2 linked regions of the Yarrowia lipolytica genome follow. The protein of the gene in region 1 interacts with the protein of each later gene in a pairwise test. Links are inferred from orthologs where the notes say so. Each region holds a gene or a part of one and is shown in the gene's direction. Other genes may lie near its edges.

Region 1 (4,175 bases):
CTCAAGGGCTGATGATGGCAAGTCGTCATTGTGGATGCTATACTCTTTTACCCTGTCTTTCAGCCCTTCAATTCTCTACTCGATATCTTTACCGTAGTACATACACACAAGAATGCAGCTCTCTTATTGTCCCTTCATTTATCCCACTAATTGTTTATAACTAATTACACATTGTACTGTAGCTGCCTTCGAAGTAATCTAGTTGGGATCATACTTAAATTGAGTGGGTGGGCTCGTTGAAGTGAAGTTAACTACGCAGAAATCAATCCCGTCTGGAATTCAGCATCACAGACAGCCTCTTCCACCCTACAATTCCTTTGGTCCTTCATGGCATTTCTCGGAGCTCAGGTTTATAGCTTTCATTTATGGCCCGAGTCTGCCCGTCGAGTCTGTTGTAAAAACGAGAGTTAAAGTGAGCAGCTGGAGAGGTGGCTTGAATGGGAAGAGAGTGATTCTCAGATGGACGAGTAAGGCTGAAAAGAGCAACAATAAGACACTTTTTTCGATCTTAGTCTCCAGATGTCGCTCTTCTGGGTATTATCAGGGAGCTATGGCGAATCATACAAGTCAAATATACTTAGTTGATGGAGTCAAGTGTGTACTTCATACTTAACAGGGCATGGCCCAGCACTTGGTTTATGACAAAGGAGGTTGGCAATTATACGTGTCTGATTGGATTATATATCCCCATTGCAGTCCAACCACGTGCTGGTATCAATCCAGCTACAGATCGGGCTCTAGGCGGCGCAGGACGGTGCAATATTTGCTTGTTTCAAACGTTCGTATTCGGCAGTTCCAAAGCGAGCAGTTTGGCAGCAGCTGGGAGGAGGAGGTTCGTGGAGCAGTCAGAGGTTTGTTGAACGACGTGATAAAAAGAGAACAATGTGGAAGAAGAAAAACACACCAATCAAATGAGCTGATCACGTGATTACAATTTCAGCTTTTATTTTCCAAGTACTCCTCCACCGGACGAGATTGCTCTGCTGTGCTCCACCGCTCTTACCGAGACCCTGCTTGATCAAGGCTTGTCGGACAATTACATTAATCCGTCCGAGTCAAAATTAAAGGAGGGCTCTGGAAGCCGATAACGATGGCAACCAGGGAAGCAAAAACAATGCCAATGAGCCGAAGGCCGAGTTTTCGCGACTCGGTGCATAATCCCCTACCTATCCCACTCTTCACACTCCGTCCCCATTTTATATCTTGACCTGCAAACGTGTGCACAGCCCCCTCCCTCTTACAGCCAAATAAAAAAAAAGACCTGTCTGGCCTTACTATAATTACTAGCACTGTACGTGTCTCGTGCACCGTGTGCGAGATTGTCCCTTTTGCCGACACCAACCTCCGATACCTCGGCTTATCTGTTTGGGTGCGCGCATTCTGTGCGTATACGCGGGCTCTTCGACGCAACTTTGCGGATTTTCAACTCAACAAGACGCAGCACCAGACAAAAACTCCGGCTGGAGACGGAATCGGCGTTAGCGTAGCTTAAAGCCGATCCGAGAAGACGAGGGGGCGGGGGAGTCTTGTCGTTGCGGAGGGGACAATGCTGGTACATGCTACGCAACGGAAGCCAGTCCAAAAGTCGGACTGCGCTAAATTCGTAACCGGCAACCGTAATCGCACGTCTATTCGGAATATCCCTCTGGCGTCAACCGTGAAGGCTCTTAAACTCACGTCCAGTCAAAGTCATTGCTGACGTGACGTTGACTTTGGCGATATGACTGATGAGGTACAGTGGGCAATGAGCGGCACAACGAGCCCGAATTCCCCAAGAGCACTAATCACATGATAATATCTCATAGAATGATCAGTCGTATACGTGATTTTCGGCTTAACAACCCGCTCCCGCTTCTCGGCCTCGTTCCCCCTATCCCTCATTTATCTATCACGCCCCTTTTAACTCGTCATGCAGCAATTTAACGGCGGCCTGCAAGGCTTATTTTTTTCGCATCACATATATAAAATCTGGTGCAGCCATTTCTGTTACTGAGACCCGACCCGAATCGTACTTCGCACATCATGAACCCCACTATCGAACGATCCGCACGGCTGGCCGACTACGTCTGGTCGTTTCTGGGCGCACACAAGGTGGTGGTTGGCCTGTTTCTGGCCGCCTACTTCATTTTCAAGTCACGAGACCATGTGAAGATCACCAAGCCCAGAAAACCGTTGGAGCTGCATCTCAAGAACGGCAAGACTGAGTCGCTCGACGCTCTGATCCAGCAGGTCCCCGGCCTCAAAAACGGCGACACTCTGTGGTACAACCCTCTCAAGATCCTCAACCATGTGCAGACCATCATGGCTTCTCAGAACGACCTCCATGGCACCGACCTGGTCTACTACGCCCGACGAATGGTTGATTTCGACGACGGCGTTCAGATTGCCGCCGATTACGTCGTCCCCGCCCCCAAGACCCCTGAGGAAAAGGCGGCCTGGAAGAAGGGACTCGAGTACAAGCCCGAGGAGAACACCCCGAAGTTCCCAGTTCGAACCCGATACAAGCAGCCCCAGGAAGTGGAGCTCGACCACAGCGACGACTCCAAGCCCATGCTGATTCTTCTCCACGGCCTCACCGGCGGCTCTTATGAGTCCTACGTGCGAGCTGTTGTTGCTAAAATCACCTCTCAATACAACGCTTCTGCCGACGGAACCCTTGTAGACTTTGAGTGTGTTGTCATGAACACTCGAGGATGCGCCCGAACCACCATCAAGACCCCCGAGCTGTTCAACGGCTGCTGGACCGAGGACGTGCGAAGGTTTGTCAAGGATATGCGAAAGCGATACCCCAACCGGCGATTCTACATGGTGGGTTTCTCTCTTGGAGCCTCCATTCTCGCTAACTACCTGGGCCAAGAGGCCGAGGACATCGACATTGAGGCTGCCTGTGTTGTTGCCAACCCCTGGGACCTGTGTGCCTCATACTACGCCCTGCGAAGCTCGTGGTCTGGACGACACCTGTACAACCCCCAGATGGCTAAGAACCTGCTGCGAATGCTCCGAAACCACCGGGAGGTCATGAAGCGAAACCCCATCTACGACGAGTCGCTGACTAAGCAGGTCAAGTCCATTGTCGACTTTGACAACCTGTTCACCGCCCCCATGTTCGGATTCGACACCGCCACCGACTACTATCGACATGGCTCGTCGTGTAACCGAATCATGAACATCCGAGTCCCCACTTTGATTCTGCATGCCCTGGACGACCCCGTGGCTCCCGGCTTCCAGCTGCCCTACCACGAGATCAAGCGAAACCCCTACACCGTCATGGCTGCCACCAATCATGGAGGACACATTGGCTGGTTCCACTGGGGCAAGGACAAACGATGGTTCCCCTCCAAGATTGCTGGTTTCTTCTCGCAGTTTGAGAAGGAGGTGGATCACACCAAGGACAACAACACAAAGGTGGAGCGACTGGAGCGTCGGTGGGAGAATGATAGACTTCGAGCTGTTCGATACGATTAGCCCATGAACGATGCAAACCCATGAACGAACTTCACCAGTAATTAGAAATATAGATTAACAAAAGTATTAGATAACATAACACAATGGGTGTAAGTGTATTAGTTTGGGCATTGTAATGATTCCGTTCGTAGAGCGTATAACACTATGTGCTGTATATCACTCATTCTTCGTATATACAAAATCTCTTTGTTTGAGATATGGGACTCAATCAAATGTTACCGGTACTAAAAGAACACAAAGAGCCTTGATCAATTGATGCTGTTTGTCTGCGTACCACACCAGTCTATCTTAGACAAGTTTCAAACTTCTCATGGTGCCTGCTGTCCTGCAATTTCATGATAATCAAAAATCAGTAGTTGTATATAACTAAAGAATGATTAAACGGGTCACGTAAGTGCTACCAGTATCGCCATTATCATTCCATACAATTTTATGCTCAGTTCATCTTAAATATCCTCCAAAACACTCTCTACGCACACCCCTCTATAGCAGGTCACATCCAGAACAGTTTCAAAAATTCGAAGAAGACACACAGGAGACATAAGAGTAATATTGGGGCATACTTGGAGATATTATAGTTAATTTAATGCTACTTTTTCTCTTTCACAAACCTCCAGATACTTCAAAAATCGTCACCCGAAAAAAATGACACTTTTCACTGTGTGGTTGTCACTATTTCTTCCAGGTCATGAAAATCGCGCCGATGGTTT
Region 2 (3,405 bases), on another chromosome or scaffold:
CTGAAGCGGGTGGCTAAGCCGTTGGATCCACAATCTAAACGCCCCAAGCAACGAGTCCAGGTGCCCTATGCTAACAAGCACCTACGGAGGCCCGTCAAACATACTTTCTCGGGCAGAGTGCATGACCTGAATGTGGCCAAAATCATCAAGACTAGCTCGCTGAGGAACGGCCACATGATGCAGAGCGTGTCTTCGTCCGTGGACTCGGGCCGTTCCAAGTCTCTGGAGGCCCAACACGAGGACAGACTCCAAGACTTTGCTTCCAAACAGCTCGAGTTCAGAGAGTATATGAAGCAAGTGAACAGTGGGCACGTTCCAGACGCTTCCGACCACTCTCGCAGTGTGTCTCCTGCTTCGGTGGCGGACTCGTTGTCTTCTGAAAGCTCCAAGGAGTCTTCTCCGGGCGTTGAAACGAAGCAACCGGACTTTTGTCTAGCTACAAGTACAAGTACTGAGAGAGCCCCCTCGTATCCATCGTCACGTGAGCTTGAAGAGAGCTAGGGTAAACGTGCGGCTGGAGCGAAAGACGTAACGCGGTGTGTGCCTCGAGACAACCCATTCACCAACTAACTTTCAACCACCATGTAATTCATGGTGTTTCGATCTCATGACGACGGCTTGCCTCCACTCAGACCCCAAACTGCTTTTTGTTTGCTCTCATAAGTGGCCATTTATACAAGGCCCGTTTGGGTGGTTCCGCATCCTCTCAGACCCCCTCTAAGCATCAGATAGGTATAACTGGACGGTTATTTGCCCCAATATATACAAGCATGTATGTAGAGTATAGTATATAAATTTTATGGTGTATTCTCCTAATAGTTCCCAGCTTGGTACCGCACTTTAGCTATTATTTATTAACGGCATGCTCCCCTCAAGCAAGCACGTCCACAGAAAACTCTGGGCGTTGCGCAAGGGCCCGGCTCGGCTATAGCGAGAAGATTGCTCTCTCACGCTGATAAGATTTGTTTGGTCGGCGTGTGGCCCGTATTCGTCCAGAACCACAGGCAGTTATTTAACGTCGTAGCAGGACTTTGGCTTTGGCTCGCCATACAATCTATGAACTGAAAAATGAAGGTCAAAAAAGAACAAGACTGGTGCTGCGAAGCCTTATGTCTATATCAAGTGTATCAGCGGATGCACGTCGGGGAATTTATCGGTGAAATAGCTGCTGTTAAGACCGCAGCTGTAGTTATCGGTGGGTCCATAGTTTTATGATATGTCGGTAAAGTCGGCAGTCAGAGTGCGGTGATCTGTGCCGAATTGTGTGTACGTACTGTACAACAAGCAGCAGTACGATATCGTATTCGACTACGGTACTCCGTACTACTTGTAGGTGACGACACTTGACTCAAGAGATGACGGTACTTGTAACGTTTCAGAGGAGGCAACAAACAGACGAGATTGCGCGTTGGTCCGAGCACCCGGTCTCTTTCTCGTGCAGGAACGAGAGATGGCCTTCTGCTGCTGTCCATACATGGCGGGTCAAGTCAGCAGTGCACAGCTTTGTCCTGAGTGTTATAGGGACAACGTTCACGTATCATAGGAGAAGAAATGTCGAGTTTAAAGCGACAAATGAAAAAGAGTGAGACCCTGCTGTGCGCGAGTCAACTAAGCTGTCCTCTGGAGCAGAAGTGCTTTGTATATAAATCTTGCCGGCTGCTCCTTATGTTGTTTTGTTTCCGCCCTCCGCCCTCCGCCTTCTTTTACAACGCCCTTGGCTCTCTTTATTGACTCAACCCCGAATCGAACGGCTGTGACTACGAGCTCTTACACCCCGACAACCGTTACAGTGTGTCGTACTGTACCTCAAAACAGATAGGGCCTGCAACCAGCAACCCGCAGCACACGCGCTTTGAAGAGCCTCTCTAGCACCTCCGATCGGAAACACTCAGGTTTAAGATCGCGCCATCGTATTTTCTTTGTTCATTCTAACCAAACCTTGCGGACTCATCGTATACAAGCACGTACGTACTCGTACTACCACAACGACTTGTCCTGCTCGGTGAAACAAACGACATCCCCGGAAACCTTGGCGCAGTGCTCATTTAGAATTAGTTGACGCATCTCAACTAGCTACTGCACGATACCGTAACCGCCCAGACACTGCGTTTCGACATCTCCACAACTCTCCCTTACACAAACAACACCCCCAAAACATCCTTTTTGCACCACCTCCGCCATGCCCGAGCCCACAATCGAAAGCCTGAAGAAGGAGGTCGACTTTCTCTCTGCCCAGCTCCGAAAAGTCACCGGGCTGGTCGCTGAGACCGGCAAACAGGTGCTCTCCATCCAGGTGAACCAGGAGAAGGGCGCCCTCAACAACCTCACAATCACCGACGTGGAAGGCAAGCCAGTCCAGTCGCAAAAGGACAAGGCTTCATCGTCCGAAGACAGCCAGGCCGTCACCTCTGAGGATCTCGTGGTGCTTGTGACCGAACTCCAGGACCAGCTCGACAACCTCGAGACTAAGTCGATCCGACGAACCGCAAACTCCTTTGCCCAGAAAGACGCCGACCTCATTGCCTCGCTGCCCCGAATTGATGGCATGTGCCCCGCCCAGGAGCTCGACGACGAAACCCACCCCGACTGGGTATTCCCCAAGACCCTGGGAGAGTTCAAGAAGCTCGATAATGCCAAGGTGGAACAGTGGATGCGGTTCTACGAGCTGCTGCCTCCGGACGAAGCCGAACTTGCCAAGCTCCAAGAGGTGCTGGGCAAGGAGGAGCTTGAGGAGGCCATGGAGAACGCCCGAAAGTCTGCTGAACTGTCGGAGGCGGAGGCCATTGAGCGATTTGATACTCTCGCCCGGTTCTTTGGTCTGCGGGAGCGACGAGGCACCAACGCCTGGTAGATGTGCCCGCTATGACTATTGATACAAAATCCATTACGACTTCCGGTATTCTTCTTTTTCGAGGCCGAATTAATAATGAGCGAAAAAATGACAACCATGAGACCACCAATCGAGAGAGAAACAGTACACAGTATATTATTTTAGTTTTTTGTTTCCTCATTTGAGGACAATGTGAAAAAAAAAAAAGCAGATGATAGATGATGATGTTTAAATACTGTATTACATGTCGGCCTATAGAGGACTACTTATAGGTACGCCACTCAAGCGTCTCCGTATCTGATCAGATATCTGTGCCATATCCCGTTAACTATATAATGCTTTTCTAAATCACTCGTTTCGGACCTTCTTTCGAGATCGGTCTCCAGAGGCGTCTTCTCCATCTCCTCCGTTGGCTCGCTTGAATCCTCCTCGATCAGAGCCTCCAAATCCTCCTCGGGGAGCCCCGCCTCGACCTCCTCGGAAACCTCCTCGGCCCCGACCTCCTCCTCGAGGGAAAGTTCCTCCTCCTCGAGTGATGATTCGGGCTCCACCTCGGCCAAATCGCTTCTGTCCAG

What was found.
Region 2: the proteins of YALI1_B24564g (region 1) and YALI1_D14156g interact in a two-hybrid assay, tested with the Saccharomyces cerevisiae proteins (2 studies listed by BioGRID). The link is inferred for Yarrowia lipolytica from reciprocal best matches to the Saccharomyces cerevisiae genes MGL2 and MRP8.

Annotation. Positions count from the first base shown.
Region 1 is NC_090771.1:2,454,254-2,458,428, reverse strand, and holds YALI1_B24564g (uncharacterized protein), read left to right. Parts: upstream 1-2,022; coding exon 2,023-3,465; downstream 3,466-4,175. UniProt on the Saccharomyces cerevisiae protein: Converts monoacylglycerides (MAG) to free fatty acids and glycerol. Has a preference for palmitoyl-MAG. Does not play a significant role in ethyl ester biosynthesis. Also possesses ester hydrolase and low but persistent TAG lipase activity.
Region 2 is NC_090773.1:1,414,455-1,417,859, reverse strand, and holds YALI1_D14156g (uncharacterized protein), read left to right. Parts: upstream 1-2,179; coding exon 2,180-2,851; downstream 2,852-3,405. Other genes in the region: YALI1_D14180g (uncharacterized protein), read left to right, coding at 1-501; YALI1_D14125g (uncharacterized protein), read right to left, coding at 3,179-3,405.